Linked DNA regions of Saccharomyces cerevisiae S288C. The protein of the gene in region 2 purifies or fractionates together with the protein of the main gene of each other region. This does not show direct contact. Each region holds a gene or a part of one and is shown on either strand. Other genes may lie near its edges.

The links.
Region 1: the proteins of MSS51 (region 2) and COX2 purify together in Saccharomyces cerevisiae (affinity purification with western blotting; 4 studies listed by BioGRID, with this or other methods). This does not show direct contact.
Region 3: the proteins of MSS51 (region 2) and COX1 purify together in Saccharomyces cerevisiae (affinity purification with western blotting; 10 studies listed by BioGRID, with this or other methods). This does not show direct contact.
Region 4: the proteins of MSS51 (region 2) and COX3 purify together in Saccharomyces cerevisiae (affinity purification with western blotting; 3 studies listed by BioGRID, with this or other methods). This does not show direct contact.

The regions. Positions count from the first base shown.
Region 1 is NC_001224.1:71,057-75,563, forward strand, and holds COX2 (cytochrome c oxidase subunit 2), read left to right. Parts: upstream 1-2,701; coding exon 2,702-3,457; downstream 3,458-4,507. Other genes in the region: Q0255 (maturase-like protein), read left to right, coding at 3,439-4,507. UniProt on the Saccharomyces cerevisiae protein: Component of the cytochrome c oxidase, the last enzyme in the mitochondrial electron transport chain which drives oxidative phosphorylation.
Region 2 is NC_001144.5:550,150-553,754, forward strand, and holds MSS51 (Mss51p), read right to left. Parts: upstream 1,812-3,605; coding exon 501-1,811; downstream 1-500. Other genes in the region: ubiquinone biosynthesis protein COQ9, read right to left, coding at 1-144; mitochondrial 37S ribosomal protein mS38 QRI5, read left to right, coding at 2,121-2,456; HMX1 (Hmx1p), read right to left, coding at 2,575-3,528. UniProt on the Saccharomyces cerevisiae protein: Has a dual role in the assembly of cytochrome oxidase subunit 1 (COX1). It has a regulative function on COX1 synthesis, acting as a translational activator specific for the COX1 mRNA, and it also binds to newly synthesized COX1 protein.
Region 3 is NC_001224.1:11,119-17,366, reverse strand, and holds the start of COX1 (cytochrome c oxidase subunit 1), read right to left. Parts: upstream 3,550-6,248; coding exon 3,381-3,549; coding exon of another isoform or gene 1,045-3,380; intron 933-1,044; coding exon 897-932; coding exon of another isoform or gene 1-896. Other genes in the region: intron-encoded reverse transcriptase aI1, read right to left, coding at 1,045-3,549; intron-encoded DNA endonuclease aI3, read right to left, coding at 897-932, 3,381-3,549; intron-encoded DNA endonuclease aI4, read right to left, coding at 897-932, 3,381-3,549; AI5_ALPHA (intron-encoded DNA endonuclease aI5 alpha), read right to left, coding at 897-932, 3,381-3,549; intron-encoded reverse transcriptase aI2, read right to left, coding at 1-932, 3,381-3,549. UniProt on the Saccharomyces cerevisiae protein: Component of the cytochrome c oxidase, the last enzyme in the mitochondrial electron transport chain which drives oxidative phosphorylation.
Region 4 is NC_001224.1:76,536-81,095, reverse strand, and holds COX3 (cytochrome c oxidase subunit 3), read right to left. Parts: upstream 1,884-4,560; coding exon 1,074-1,883; downstream 1-1,073. UniProt on the Saccharomyces cerevisiae protein: Component of the cytochrome c oxidase, the last enzyme in the mitochondrial electron transport chain which drives oxidative phosphorylation.

The DNA.
Region 1 (4,507 bases), on a different chromosome or scaffold from region 2:
ATATATTTATATATATAAATAAATAAATAAATAATAATAATTATAATTATAATTATAATTAATTAATTAATAAATAAATAATAATTTATATTATCTTTATAATATATATATATACTTTTATAAAAAAAATATATAAATAATTCTAAAATGTATATTTCTCCTTTCGGGGTTCCGGCTCCCGTGGCCGGGCCCCGGAACTATTAATAAAATTAATAATAAAATAATTATTATCTGTATTTAATAAATTTAATTATAGAGTTATATTTCTATATATTTATATATTTATTTATTTATTCTCCTTCCGGAACTAATAAAATATATAAAATAAGGGTTTTTATTTATTTAATTAATATATATTTATTCTTTTATATAATATGTCCTTATAGCTTATCGGTTAAAGCATCTCACTGTTAATGAGAATAGATGGGTTCAATTCCTATTAAGGACGATAATAATATATATATATTTTAATTTATATATCATATATATATATATATTAAAGAAAATAATATAAAAAGTATGTATTAATAATAATAATAAATAAATAATAATAAATAATTTTATTATATTATATTATATTATATTTATTGATATATTTATTGATATTTATTAATTTAAGATTATTCATTAAATATATAATTATTAATAATTTAATATATTTTATAATTTTTATTATATTTTATGTAAGAAGAAACTATTTTATATATTATATATATATATATAATTTTTATAAAATGATAAATTTTATATTATAAATATTATTAAAATATTTTTATAAATATTTAAATTATTTATAAAAAGGTATATAATAATAATTATTAATATTATATTATATTATATATTTATTTATATTATATATAATAATATATTTATATATATATTAATTAATAAATTAAATAAGTATCTATATTTTATATTATATTATATTATTTTATTTTATTAATTCCGGAAGGAGAATAAAAAGTATTCTAAAGAAATTATATATTTATTATTTTTATTAATATGTTATAAATTAATAAAAAATAAATATGTATATATAAATTATATTTATTATGTTTAATTATTTATAATTTATTATAATATATAGTATAAGATATCTTATTTATATTTATATATAATAAAGAATATTATTAAACTAACACCTATATTATATATATTATATTATATAATATTATATATATATTAATTACTAAGAATAAATTTATAATTAGATAATATTTATATTTATTTATTTATTTAATTAACAAATATATTAATATTTTTAATTAATTAATAATACCTTTATATATATATATATATATATATTAATTTTAATTATATAATTATCTTTTTTATTAATAATTATAAATATATTATATATTTTATATAATAAGATTATAATTTTATAATTATTTTATTTTTTATTAAAAATTATTATTATTATAATTATTATATTATAATTATAAATTATTAAAGAATATATTTATTAATATTTTAATAATTAATATCTTTTATTTATATTTATAAAATAAGGTATAAATATTGATAATAAAGAGTAAATATTGTATTAATTATAATAATAATTATAATTAAGGAGCTTGTATAGTTTAATTGGTTAAAACATTTGTCTCATAAATAAATAATGTAAGGTTCAATTCCTTCTACAAGTAATAATGATTATAATATTTATATATATTAAAATAATATTAATAAATAATTACTCCTCCTAGCAGGATTCACATCTCCTTCGGCCGGACTCCTTCGGGGTCCGCCCCGCGGGGGCGGGCCGGACTATTTTATTATTATTAAATAGATGTTCATTAAATAATTATAAATATAATTTATCTTTTAAATATATATATATAATATAATATTTAAATATATATTATAAATAAATAAATAAATAATTAATTAATAAAAACATATAATGTATATTTATCTATAAAAAATATTAATTAAATTAATATATTATTACAGTTCCGGGGGCCGGCCACGGGAGCCGGAACCCCGAAGGAGATAAATAAATAAATAAATATAAATAATTCTTCTTCTTTAAAATTAAATAAAATAAAATAAAAAGGGGGGCGGACTCCTTCGGGGTCCCGCCCCCCTCCGCGGGGCGGACTATTTTATTTTTAAATATATATTATATTAATAATATAAATATAAGTCCCCGCCCCGGCGGGGACCCCGAAGGAGTATAAATAAAAATTAATAATATATTATATATATATTATATTAATAATAATAATAATAATAATAATAATAAATAATAACTCCTTGCTTCATACCTTTATAAATAAGGTAATCACTAATATATTATAATAATAAAAATTATATATATTATATATAATCTAAATATTATATATTTTAATAAATATTAATATATATGATATGAATATTATTAGTTTTTGGGAAGCGGGAATCCCGTAAGGAGTGAGGGACCCCTCCCTAACGGGAGGAGGACCGAAGGAGTTTTAGTATTTTTTTTTTTTTAATAAAATATATATTTATATGATTAATAATATTATATATATTATTTATAAAAATAATATATAATTTTAATTATTTTTAATAAAAAAAGGTGGGGTTGATAATATAATATAATATTTTTTATTTTAATTTATAATATATAATAATAAATTATAAATAAATTTTAATTAAAAGTAGTATTAACATATTATAAATAGACAAAAGAGTCTAAAGGTTAAGATTTATTAAAATGTTAGATTTATTAAGATTACAATTAACAACATTCATTATGAATGATGTACCAACACCTTATGCATGTTATTTTCAGGATTCAGCAACACCAAATCAAGAAGGTATTTTAGAATTACATGATAATATTATGTTTTATTTATTAGTTATTTTAGGTTTAGTATCTTGAATGTTATATACAATTGTTATAACATATTCAAAAAATCCTATTGCATATAAATATATTAAACATGGACAAACTATTGAAGTTATTTGAACAATTTTTCCAGCTGTAATTTTATTAATTATTGCTTTTCCTTCATTTATTTTATTATATTTATGTGATGAAGTTATTTCACCAGCTATAACTATTAAAGCTATTGGATATCAATGATATTGAAAATATGAATATTCAGATTTTATTAATGATAGTGGTGAAACTGTTGAATTTGAATCATATGTTATTCCTGATGAATTATTAGAAGAAGGTCAATTAAGATTATTAGATACTGATACTTCTATAGTTGTACCTGTAGATACACATATTAGATTCGTTGTAACAGCTGCTGATGTTATTCATGATTTTGCTATTCCAAGTTTAGGTATTAAAGTTGATGCTACTCCTGGTAGATTAAATCAAGTTTCTGCTTTAATTCAAAGAGAAGGTGTCTTCTATGGAGCATGTTCTGAGTTGTGTGGGACAGGTCATGCAAATATGCCAATTAAGATCGAAGCAGTATCATTACCTAAATTTTTGGAATGATTAAATGAACAATAATTAATATTTACTTATTATTAATATTTTTAATTATTAAAAATAATAATAATAATAATAATTATAATAATATTCTTAAATATAATAAAGATATAGATTTATATTCTATTCAATCACCTTATATTAAAAATATAAATATTATTAAAAGAGGTTATCATACTTCTTTAAATAATAAATTAATTATTGTTCAAAAAGATAATAAAAATAATAATAAGAATAATTTAGAAATAGATAATTTTTATAAATGATTAGTAGGATTTACAGATGGAGATGGTAGTTTTTATATTAAATTAAATGATAAAAAATATTTAAGATTTTTTTATGGTTTTAGAATACATATTGATGATAAAGCATGTTTAGAAAAGATTAGAAATATATTAAATATACCTTCTAATTTTGAAGAACTACTTAAAACAATTATATTAGTAAATTCACAAAAGAAATGGTTATATTCTAATATTGTAACTATTTTTGATAAGTATCCTTGTTTAACAATTAAATATTATAGTTATTATAAATGAAAAATAGCTATAATTAATAATTTAAATGGTATATCTTATAATAATAAAGATTTATTAAATATTAAAAATACAATTAATAATTATGAAGTTATACCTAATTTAAAAATTCCATATGATAAAATAAATGATTATTGAATTTTAGGTTTTATTGAAGCTGAAGGTTCATTTGATCTATCTCCAAAACGTAATATTTGTGGTTTTAATGTTTCACAACATAAACGTAGTATTAATACATTAAAAGCTATTAAATCTTATGTATTAAATAATTGAAAACCAATTGATAATACACCATTATTAATTAAAAATAAATTATTAAAAGATTGAGATTCATCTATTAAATTAACTAAACCTGATAAAAATGGAGTTATTAAATTAGAATTTAATAGAATAGATTTTTTATATTATGTTATTTTACCTAAATTATATTCATTAAAATGATATAGTCGTAAAGAAATTGATTTCCAATTATGAAAAACACTTATAGAAATCTATATAAAAGGTTTACATAATACACTTAAAGGTTCTAATTTAT
Region 2 (3,605 bases):
AGCTAGTGACAATACTTTATACTGGGGTGATTCTTTTCCATAAGTTAAAGGTTTAATATGAATTGGTTTAACATGTTCGATAGGGTTCGAATGATATAAACGAAAGAATTTACAGCCCGTTCTGGCAGTATTGCGACAAAGCATGATTTATAATGTGGTAAAGACTCTGTTATCTCTTTCCAAATTGGGGTGAAGTACCTTATGTAGGCCCAAAAAAAAAAAAACCCCGTATTATTGTTTCTTACTATTGTTATTGCTATTTTTCTTCCGCCTAATATAGTCCGAAAAGGAAAGGATATGTCATGGCAACTGTAGTCAGTATACTACTGTATAGGTGAATGGATTAGTTAATGGACTATTAGGTCAACCATTACGAAGGGGGTGGGGTTAGTATTTTTGTATTTACAGATATTGAGATATCATACATAAGAAAAAAATTATAATAACGGTAGAAAACGCATATATTTATAAGATGAAAGTTGGGCATGGCCTCCCGATAATCATTGTCTCTTGATTGTATGGTACCTTTTACCTCTGAACCCGGCAATATACATGTTAAATTGATAAACTTCTTGAGGATTCATGTCATTTAATTCCCACTTCGTACTTCCAAATACGTTTCTGACGGGCTCCATTAAGACATCCATTTCCTTACCGTATTTGGATTTGACAAGATTTATGTCGTCCGTTAGGTCTTTCTTATTGAAACCCGTTGTGAAGATAGCACATTTTGTTTCCAGTAATGCCTTCATAGTTTCACCCATCCATGAACCGTGAGATTCTGGAGATGCGTAGCCTGGATGGAAAGTAAAAAAGACATCCATGTATGGATCGTATGGGAAAAAATCTTGAGCCTCATGGAATACTTCGAAAAAGTTTGTACGATAAATGAATTTCAGAGTCTCGTCTACTCTTTGTACTACCGGCGTAGTAGACTTGACGTACTCCTGTTTATCCCTTTTATACAGGCATTCGGGTCCAATGAAATGTATTTCGAAACTCTGCTCTGGGAAAAGAAACTGGAGCTGTTTCCAAACGTGGCCCGGCAATTGAGCTTCAGCACGTGCACCTAGGATGAAAATTCTCATAGCACGGTTCTTAGTTGTGGTTGGTAAAGATCTATTCTCCAACGGATATAAAGTATACCTGAGAGCAGCCAGAGATTTTAGACCTTCTAAGGTGATAGGCCCCTTTGGGTTCAATGAATACGGGGAAAATTTGTGCAGCAAAGACCCAATCGTAATTGGATAGCTTAGCATCTTTGTGACTGCGGCTAATTGGAACTCTGTATCCATGGAATAGAATGATCTTGTGTAGAAAAACAAATCCCAGTTTGTTAGGTTAACGGCCTTGTCGTAGCCTTGCTGTTGGGGAAAATCAAACTCCGGGAAGGGTCTACCGCTTCTTAAGTCATGCTCATAAATATTAACTTTTTTCAGGATTTCATATTTTTTAGAATCGTGATATGCTTTATCCATCTCCCAAGCCTCTCGTGAGTGATGAGTCGGAATTCCTGACAGAGGACAAGTGTAGTTAATATCTTTGCCGGTAACAGGGCAGTGTGCTAGCGTTCTAATCTTGGCGGCCCTTTCACGCAAGTCCACTGAGGGAGACTGATCCCATGGATGGAATCTGTTCTCCGGAGTAGGATCTTCTGGAGAGGGAGGAGGATCCAATCCAAGGGCGTTCCTAACGAACCCCATGAGGTGACGACGTGTTTGGTGAGAGACAACTAGCCTGTTGTGTGGCGACTTCCTTAGCAGATGGAAATATAGCTGAGTAGCACCCGAAGGAGCATATAGCACGGTCATAGTTCTGGAAGTACAAGTTTGCCAAACTACTTTAAGTCCACCTTCGCAATATCTACAGTGTTCTGCGCTTATAAAGTGTAAAAAAACTACAACCAAAGGCCCGCCCTTAGTAGTTGACCAAATATCTACTATTGTCTCTTGTCAGACTCCTTTGGATTATTTTCTTCGAGCCGCTTTTTCGTAGCGCATGATAAAAAGAGCCCTTTCCCCATACTGCACACTTAAGTGAATGCCAAATATAATATCAAGAGCGAAAGGCGGTTGAGTTCCAGCCAAGACGAGCACACACGACACCAGAACGAGATAAACATGCTAGGAAGGGCATTGCGACCTGGGTGGCTGGGCATTACTAGGACGGTGGTTAAGAAACCAAGTTGCGGGTCCTACTTTAACAGAACCTTTCAAACAGCAATTAACACTACAATGCCTCCCATGCAAGAGGGCATGCTGAGTACAATGATGATGATGACGGCTACGGCAACAAGGATCACTGGCACAGTCAGTGAGCCATTAAACGGTTCAAATATAGTGATGCAACTCGATTCAGTGATGAGAAAGAGGAAAAAAAAGATGAAGAAACACAAACTGCGGAAAAGAAGAAAGAGGGAGAAGGCAGAAAGAAGAAAGCTATCTCAGGGTAGATAATAGGGCTGTAAAAACCTCTCACATGTTTTTCTCTGCTGTTTTTCCTTCCCTATTCTTCATATTTTGATATTATTTCATGTATATATTATGTTTGTATTTAGACTTTTTTTTTTATACGTTATACTATGCTAAGAAAACTCTTTACCAAGAAGTAAAGAACCCAGATCGCGATAATAGAAAGCACCAGCAGCATGACCGTGTGGAGTGCTCTTCTAGTAGCAGAATCCTTGTTGAACATCCATTCTTCGTACAAGTACGTAATACACTTGAAGCTGAACTTGCCCATTAACTCGCGACGATTCAACTCTCCAATTTCTGCAACGATGTTGAAGTTCCAATCAAAAATGCCTTCTGCGACGCTAATGATCTGCAACTTTTGTGCTTCGGTCAATTCCGTCCTGGTGGCCAGCTCATAGTTCTTCTTGTATTCCCATTTCAAGCGTGTTTCTTCAGTGGGACCCAGATCGCTGAAGGTGAAGAAGTTTGTGCCCTTTTTGACCAGTTCCTTCTGTGATAGCTTCTCGAAGTTGGGGAAGAGCCCCAGTCTTCTGTACAAATTCGATCGTATTAGCTTGCCGCCGGCGAAAAGCGCCAAGTACAGAACGTGACAGTAAGAAAGAATGGTGCATGGCTCCTTGTGTATGTTTTCGTGGATGTTATTGATAAACTGCTGTAGTAGCGGTGGCTTCTGGAACGTAGCCAGGAATTCGTTTAATGATTCTGTGCTTTTAAACGTGTTTGAGTATAGCAGCTTCAGGTCCTTATAGATCTGCGTAGATCTTCTAAAATCTTCGAGCCAAAACTGCTTCAGAATGGTCGAAGTTTGCAGCTCCTCCTCCGTTACGGGGTCATTCAGTAGGCGATCTATCTCTTGCTCGATGGCATCGAACACATAATAGTACGCCAGAATACCCTGTCTGTATATAAAGCCATGTCTCATGGCGATGGCCATCTTTATGCCCATGAAGGTATTGATTTTATTGTGGGCATCTCTGGTTTGAAAGTTGATTCTGTTTGCTAGCGCCCCCACGTCAGTGGGTGAGGGTATGATTGTATTGCTACTGTCCTCCATTTTTGCGGTTATTTTATGTGTGTGTGTGTATATATGCTGTGTTATATTGTGCACTGTTAAATAGCTCCTCCTTAGAC
Region 3 (6,248 bases), on a different chromosome or scaffold from region 2:
AATTTTTTCTCTAGGATTTCCAACACTTAAAGGTCTAAATCCTCCAGATGTTTTAGGAATTTCAACTCTTCTAACCGGAGAAAATTTAAACATATTAGTGTTAATATCTTTAGATAATTTATTTAAATATGAAATATTAATCCCATCTAAGGTAATATTATTAGAACCTTTAGATATATTACCTTTCTTACTTTTAATTTTATTATAAGCAATTAATAACATTCTAATATCTGACATTAATTTTAAAATTCTAGTATTAATGGTTTCAAGTTTATTATGATTATTTTCTATTAATTTATTTAACTCGGAAAAATCCGTAGTATTAATCTTTGTTAAATACGCTAAACTGTCTTCCTTCCTTGCATTTAATTTAGATAAAGTACTAAAGTATCTCACTTTATTTAAATTAAATTTGGGTACTATGAAGACTCCGTTATCCCCAGGGTTTCCCCTTTCGGACAATCCCGTATTTCTTAATTTTCCATTTGAACTCGTACAGCCCTCCAAATGTCAACTTTTACTTAAAGCTAATGATTCATTTTTGGTTAACTCGTGTACCTCTTCTTCCAATACATAAGCATGAATCACAATCCCCAAGTGGGAAGGAGTTAATGAGAACCCTAAACATTCTTTACAGGAATTCGTTAACCTAGCCATCGGACAGTTCTTACCTTGCGCTGGCTGTTTTACTCCAGCGCTTTTATGGCATGCTATTGTCCCCGTTGAGTTGGCCCCAACTGGGTAAGCCATATGGTTTACGTATCTAAATACTATGTATGTTACTACTAATAATCAGAACCAAAATGATACGGTAAAGTTTTCATTAATTGAATAAACAGAGATATGTTTATCAATTAACACTTCAATACAGTGATAAATTAAGCGAAACGGCGCACAGAAAATCATTAATACAGCATGACCAACTACTAAAAATGAAATAGCAAATTAACCTATGTTGCCACGTGTTAAAGAGCCTTTCCCAAACCGTACGTGATAGTTTCCCATCATACGGCTTTCCATATTGAGTATCATTAATAATAGATTTTATATACCAGGTCCTATATTTTTAAATTTATTTTTATGTGTTTTAATATGACATTGTTTACATAATGGAATTTGTTTTCTGTTTATGGTAATTATTCTACCTAGAATATAATCTTTAAGTGCTTTTAATATACCTCTATGTAATTGTTTAACATGATGTATTTCTACATCAATAGTTGAATTACAAATACTACAAGGTTTATTAAAATTAGCTTTAGCTGTAGGTAATATATATTTAATTGAATCGATATATTCAAAAGGATCAGTTACTTTAGCTTCTGATATATATATAAATATACCATGATTTTCAATTTTTTTGATATTATCAAAAGTATTTCTTGGAAAATTGGCAATTAATTTATCATTTTCAATAATATTTAAATTATAACCAAATTTTTTAATAGTTTTACTTATTGTTTTTAATCTATATTTACTAGCTAAAGTTAATACACATGAATAATATAATACGTAATAGATTCTTTCTCTTAATCTTTTATAATTAGTAGCTAATTTATAATAATTTAAGATACCTCTACCTAACGCTTTATAATTATTAATAATTGTTCTAGGTTCTTCATATAGTCATCTACCTACTCTTGTAGGCACTCCTATTCTACCATTTTTATTATGCTTACAATATCCATTAGTAGCTAATTTATTGATAATATCTCTAATTGGTGCATTAATAATAGGTCTAGTTGTATTTCTACTTCTAATAAGTTTACCTCTAATTAGTTTAGTAACTGTAGGTATTCTTTTTAAAGGTGTAATTGAAATATTATAACCTAAAAATCTTGCTGGTAGTTCAGTTGCACAAGTAATTAAAGTTTTTTCTTCATTTATAGTTAAACCTAATGAATTTAAAAAATTGTTTAAATCTCTTTTGATTATTTTACAATCATTTTTTGAACCTAATACCCCAATTAAAATATCATCTGCATATCTAACGTATTTTATTCTCTTGAAATTAGGATCATTATAAATAAATAGTGGGCCTTTAGCTCTTTCTTTATGTAATTTTAATCTTGTCGAAAATATTTTAGCTTTTGCAATTATTCTTGATAATTTTTTATATGTAGGATGTTGTTTTTTAACTTTACCTTTATTATATAAATTAATATAATCTTCTAATCAATTATCTACCAATGTTATTACAATATTACATAAGATAGGACTAATTAATGATCCTTGAGGTAAACCTAATATAGGTTTATGATAAGTTCCTTTCTCATCAATATAACCAGCTCTTAATAATTTATATACTAAATCAATAAAACCTTTATCTGAAATATATCTTTTTAATTCTTTAATAATTAAATCATGAGAAATTGTATCAAAACATTTTTTTAAGTCTACTTCAATAAATCAATTACTTCCACCAAATATATTTCTAACTTCTCAAATTGCTGTTTGACAACTTATATTCTTTCTAAAACCATGTGAATGTGTTGATATCTTTTTATCAAAAATTGTATCTAAAATTATTCTTATAACTTCTTGTACAATTTTATCTCTTGGATTACCTACACTTAAAGGTCTTATACCACCTTTAGGTTTAGGAATATTAACTATTCTCATGGGTTTAAATTTGAATTTACCTGTTCCTAATTCATTTGATAATTTATTTAAATATATTATATTTATACCATCTAATGTTTCTAATGTTGTACCTGGAGTTATATTACCAGGTTTACTCTTAATTCTATTATATGCTAATATTAATATATCTACGTTTTTTATAATACTTAATAAATTATTATTTATATTTTCCTCATTTATATTATCTATTACTAATTTCTCAAATTCTAACAAGTCCGAAGTACTTGTATCTTTTGATAACTCAATATTGGTATCCTTCCCTATTTTTAAATTATTATTTACTGAATAGTATCTAACTTGATTTAAAAATCTCATTTTTATTTGAGTATTCGGTACTACTATACCTCTGTCAACTCCAGAGTTTCCTCTTTCAGTTGATCCCTCACTTTTCGTATTTCCTTTTGTGTTATTTAGGTCCTTCATCTTTTTCACACTGCCTGTGCTATCTAAAACAATGAATCATAATCTGATTACCTCAACGTAAAATAATCAAACTTGTTTTACTATATCCAAATGATAAGAGGAAATTGTAATCCTGATAAAGACTTGTAAGAAGTTCGTTAACCTAACCATGTAACACTTAACTCCACCTACACTAATCATAGGTGTTTTATGACATGCTATTGTCCCCGTAAAGTTAGCCCCTACTGAGTTAGTCATATGTTTTAAGTATCTATTGATGATTCATAATACTAATGCTAGACGCATCAACGAAATATACGCACTGAGAGGCGCACCATTAAATAATTGTGAATTACCATGTAAATATTGTGAACCAGGTGCAGCTAATTCTAATCTAATGATTAAAGACATTGCTGTTCCTGCCATACCACTAAAAATAGCTAACATAAAATATAATACTGCAATATCTTTTGCATTTGTTGAATATAATCATCTTTGTACCATTTTTACTTTTTTTTTATATATTAATTTTAATAATATTATTATTATTATATTCATTAAAAAAAAAAATTAATTAAATTTAATTTAATTTAATTTAAATAATTATTGTTATATCTTAAAGGATAATAATATATTATTCTATTTATAAATATAACAATAGTTGAATTTATAATATTAATTATTAATGAATACTATATAATATTTTAGTTATAACTTTAAACAATTCTTTTATATCTTTATAAATAAATATTATTATATTATAAAGTAATAGTATAATTAATTTTTATATATATATTATTTATATAAATGTATCATAATCTATAATATAATATATATATATATATTAAAATCATTTAAATTATATAACATATATATATATTTAATGATATTAATACTCTCTTTCATAATCTATATTATTAATATTATTTATATAAAATATTAATAATATTATTATTATATCTATTACTTATATCAATACTTATTATTTAATATTATATATTACTTTTTACTCATTACAAAATACCAACTAAACCGAACTAATATAAATATATTATTTAATATATTGATTTTTTTATTATTTATTACTTAATAATAAAATAAATTATATAAAAATATTATTATCTATATATTATATATATATTTATATATATATATATTTTTTATATTATATTATATTATATATATATTATTTACATTCTTTATTATATTTATATATATTATTATTCTTTATTATAAATAAGAAATTATTTAATTTATATTTTTATGATAATATTTAAAGATTTATTAATTAAATTATTCATAATATATTAAATAATATTAATCTTATATATATAAATAATTAATATTGATTATTATTATTATTATTATATATATAAATAAATATTGATAAAAATAATATTTAATATAGAGTATTATATTTTATATAATTAATATATATATATATATATATTGTTATATATATTAAAAAAGTAATGTAGTTATATTTTTAGTATTAAATATATAAGTCCCGGTTTCTTACGAAACCGGGACCTCGGAGACGTAATAGGGGGAGGGGGTGGGTGATAAGAACCAAACTATTCAATAAATATAGAGCACACATTAGTTAAATGTATTAATATAATCAATAAATATATTATAATAATATAATATATTATATAATATAAATAAAGGTATTAACGAAATAATAAATTGTATAATATAAATTATAAATAAATAATTAAAATAAATTTAATAAAATAATAAATAAAAACAAGAAGATATCCGGGTCCCATGATAAATTATTATTGAAAATAATAATTGGGACCCCACCACTATAATAAAATATTAATGAATATAATTATAATATATATAAAAATATATATAATAATATTTATATATAATATATATATATATATATAGAAATATAAATTATTATATAAAAATATAATTCTCCTCCGGCGTCCGCCCCGCGGGGCGGGCCGGACTATTTATTATTATATTTTAATAATAAATAAATAAAAATAATAATAATAGTTCCGGGGCCCGGCCACGGGAGCCGGAACCCCGGAAGGAGAAATATAAAAGTATAAATTATATAAAAAGCATATTAATTAATTAATTCTTATAAGAATTACAATTAATTGATATTATATGCCAAATACCAATTAATTAATTAATTAAATTGAAATTAATATATATATAATTATATAAATAATAATATAATAAAAAATAAAATACTTATTATTATTATAAAAATAAGTTATAATATAAAAATATTAATTATTTATTTATTTATTTATTTTATAAAAAAAAATAAATATATATTTATAATATCTTAATATAATTATAATTATTAAAATATTTATATATATTTATATATTTATATTATAATGAATATAAAAACTTTTTATTAATTAGTAAGAAATGAATATTTATATTATAATATAAATATGTATTTATTAATATTAGAACATATCAATAATTATTATTATAATTATTATTAGTCCAAATAAAAATAAAAATAAAATAAGATTTATATAATAATCATAACCTCATATAGAGTGAATACTTTATATATCATATAATAAGATATAATATAATATGATATGATATTATATGATAGGATAATATAGGATAGGTTTTCATTATAATAAATAATATATATATTATTAATATTTAATATATTACAAATAATAATAAAATTTATTAATATGAATAATATTTAATAATATTAATATTTATTATAAATAATATTTAATAATATTAATATTTATTATTTTTTATTTTATTTATTTCTCCTTTCGGGGTTCCGGCTCCCGTGGCCGGGCCCCGGAACTATTAATAATAAATAATATAATAAGTTTATAAATAATAAATATATAGTCTAAACCTCTTTTTTATTTTAATAATAATATTTCATAAATAATTATAATATAAATAATAATTATATTTTAATTTAAAGAAGATATAATATAAAAAGTATTTTAAATAATATATAATTTAAATAATATATATTAATTAATTATATATTATATATATTTTTTTTATATAATTTATATAAGAATAAAAATAATATATATATATATATATATATATTTATAAAAATAATAATTTTAATAATAATAATAATAATATTATTAAAATAAATATATATATATTAATTATAATATTTTAATATAAAATAAATATTATTATAATAATATATTAATCATTTAAATTAAATA
Region 4 (4,560 bases), on a different chromosome or scaffold from region 2:
AATAATAATAATAATTATTATTATAAATTAATCTTTAATAATATTAAATAAGTTTATTATAATTAATTAATGATAATTTATTTAATGAATACTTCTTTTGGGACTTTATATTTAAATTTATATAAGTGTGAATTCCTTATTATTTATCATTTATATATATATATATATTTTTATTTTTATTTTTATATAATATTTAATAAACATTTTATATTTAATTATATTATTAAAGATATAAATTATAAAAAGGGTAGGTATTTTGATAATAAATAATATATTATTATATTAATAAAGGGTTTAATAATTATGATAATAATAATAAAGAAATTCAATTAATTAAATTTAATTAAATTTTAAACTCCTTTTTTTGGTTCATATTTATAATATATAGAATATAAAATATACTTTATAAAATAGGTATTCATTCCTCTCTCATGGAGGTTCACACCTATTTTTAATAAAATATAATAAAATATATATAAAATATATATAAAATAGGTGCTCACTTCAAAAAATAATTACATAAATAGTATATTTATAATATATTAATATTTCTCCTTTCGGGGTTCCGGCTCCCGTGGCCGGGCCCCGGAACTATATAATATTTAATAATAATCAAATAAAAAATATTTTTTATAAAATAATATTAATAATATATATATATATATGAATTTATATATTAGTTAAATTAATAATATTTATATTATATTATATCATATTAAAAAAGTCCCGCTGGAGGTGAGGCGGTGACCTCGAAGGAATATAAAAATATAAATAATTACATTATTATATTATATTATATTAATATTATATTTTTTTTTTTATAAATATTAAATAAATTTATTAATTATCTTTATAAAAGGTAAATGAAAAAAGAGTATAATGATTATATTATTATTAGTTCCCGCTTCGCGGGAACCCCGTTAGGAGTTTTGAAGGAATAATATATAATAATTATATTTGTAAGAATATTATTATAATAATATAAAATATATATATATAAATTATAATATATTAATTATTGTTAATTATTAATAATATATATATTAATCATTTAGATATATAATTCTATAGCCTTAGACTCCTCATCAGTAGAAGACTACGTATAAAAATAATCAGATAACATCTAAAACATGTAGATAAATAATAGTTGTTTCATATCCAACATGATGTCCAGCTGTTAAATGATAATTTCTCATTCTTCAATAATTAACACCTAACATAGCTGCTAACATTACCATATGTAAGAAATGTAATCCTGTACCAGCATAGAATACTGAACCATAAACACCATCAGAGATAGTGAATGCAGCATTAGTATATTCAATATATTGACAAGTAACAAAAATAACAATTAATCAGAATGTAATTAATAAACCTGATAAGGCTTTATTTCTATTACCTGCGATTAAGGCATGATGACTATAAGTTACAGTAGCACCAGAAGATAATAAGATAATAGTATTTAATAAAGGTAATTCGGTAGGTTGTACAGCTTCAATACCTACGGGTGGTCAACATGCACCTAATAGTACATCAGGACTCATAGCTGAATGGAAATAAGCTCAGAATAAACCAGCAAAGATTAATACTTCAGATAATACAAACATTAAGAAACCTAAATTAATACCTTTTCTTACTGCTATAGTATGATCACCTAAATATGTAGCTTCAGCTACAATATCTCTAAATCATAAAATAGAACTTGTTAATAATACAAATAATGCTAAATATACCATATTCATATTACCAATATAACCATGCATTGTTAATGCTAGTGATAATGCTAATGATAATAATGCAAATGATACTACAATAGGTCATGGTGAAGGCATAACCATATGAAATGGATGTTGTTGATGTCTACTTCTTTCTAAATGTGTCATAAATTTATTGTTATATATATATTATATATATAATATAATTAAATAAATAAATAAAAAAAATATTAATAAAATATTATCCCTTAAACTATATAATAAAATTAAATAATAATATTAATTTAATAAATCTTTTATTTAATAATAATATAAATTATATTAAATATTTATAATAATATATTATTTATAAAATTATAAAATAAATTTATATATAATTCAATATATATATATTAATTTATATATTTAAATTAAATATAATTAAATAAATAATATAATCGAATTAATATCTCTTTCGACCGGATTATTTATTCAATTATTAATAATATAAATAATTAATTTGTATTGAATATAATTTATTTAAATATTTTATTATTATTATTATTATTATTATTAATTTATTAATATTAAAGGAAATATATTTATTATATTATATTATATATATTTTTTATTATTTATATTTATTATTAATATAAATCATTGATAATATCTTCTTTTTATTTATTTATTATTATAATTAAAAAAGAATCTTATATTAATTAATATTATTTATTTTTTTTTTATTTAATAAATAAATATTATTATATTAAGATAGATATAATATTATATCTAGATTTAGGAAATATAGGGTTCGAACCTATAATCTTTCGTGTGTAAAACGAATGCTATACCAATTAAGCTAATCTCCTTTATAAAATATATACTCCACAGATATATATCCAAAACTCTTATTAATTATTATAATTATTATTTTATTTATTTATATATATATAATTATAATAATTCATATAATTATTATAATCTTATAAATATTCCTATTGAAAATTATACTTTATAATTAAATTTATTAATAATTATTTAATTTAATATATAAAATATTTATTTATATATATATTTATATATATATATATATTTTTATAAGTAGTATATTATATTTTATATATAATAATATTTATAATATATATATTATAAATTATATATAATATATTATATATTTATTTAATAATTTTTATATAATTAATATATTATATATTTAATAAATTTTATATAATTAATAAGGTAAATATAATTTAATGGTAAAATGTATGTTTTTAGGTGCATATTATCTAAGTTCAAATCTTAGTATTTACAAAATAAAAAATTAATATAAATTTATTATAATCATTTATAAATTTATTATAATATTATTATTATATTTATTTATTATTAATAATTATTTATTATTTATTATATAATATTTTTATAATTATATATTAAATATATATAAATTTTATTATAATAAAACTCCTTCTTAAATAGGGGTTCGGTTCCCATGGGGTCCCTCACTCCTTACGGGGTTCCCGCAAAGCGGGAACTAATAATAATATATATTTTTATATATATATTAATATATATATATATTTATAACTCCTTTATTGATATTTATTCTTATTTAGAATATTTTTAATTAAATAATATAATTAAATGAATACCAAACTTATATTATATTTATATTTATATTTATATTTCTCCTACCGGGGTTCCGGCTCCCGTGGCCGGGCCCCGGAACTAAATATATAAACTTTTTTTTATAATATTATATTTATTAAAATATTAATAAATAAATAAATAAGAGATATAATATATATTTTCTTTGTATTAAATATATTATATATATATATATTAATTATTATAATATATTTATTATAAATTAATTATTAATTAATATATTATTATTATTGCCCTTAATGAGAATCGAACTACATGTAAATAAATCTTCAATTTATCGCTTTACCACTAAGCTATAAAAGCTATATATAATATAATACTTATTATTACTTATAATATAATATATATATATATTTATATAATAATACATAATATATATATATATATAAATAAAACATAATATATAATATATATTTTTATATTATTAATTAATTAATTTATTACTTATCTTATTATATATATATATAAACCTTTTATAATATATTAATATATATAAAACTTTAATATTATTAATTATTATATTTATATTTATATTTATATATATAATAAATATATATATATATTTATATAAATTATATAATAAATAATAATTATATTTTATTTATAATTAAAAATAATAATTATATAATATATTACTCCTTCGGGGTCCGCCCCGCGGGGGCGGGCCGGACTATATTATATATAAAATAATAAAAAGTCTATTTATAATACTAATATAATATTATATTAATATTATTTATTAAAAAGTAATTATAATAATATTATTATTTATTTAATTTATTTATTTATTTATTTATTTATTTATTATTATTATTAAATAATATATTATATTTATATTAATTATTTAAGATATAATATTAAGTTCTGGGGGACGGCCCCCCGTATCCGTATCCGTATCCGTATTCGTATCCGTATCCGTATCCGTATGGGGGATCGGAACCCCAAAGAGGAGTGAATACCTATTACATTATATTTATTTTATATTATATTATATTTATTTTATATTATATTATATTATAAATATAAATTATAAAAGGAGTAAATATAATTCTTATAATTTAATTATATTATAATTTTATTTTATTTTATTAATATTTCTCCTTTCGGGGTTCCGGCTCCCGTGGCCGGGCCCCGGAACTATTAATATAAAAATATATAATATTTATAAAAAAATTATACATTAATTATTCTTATTATT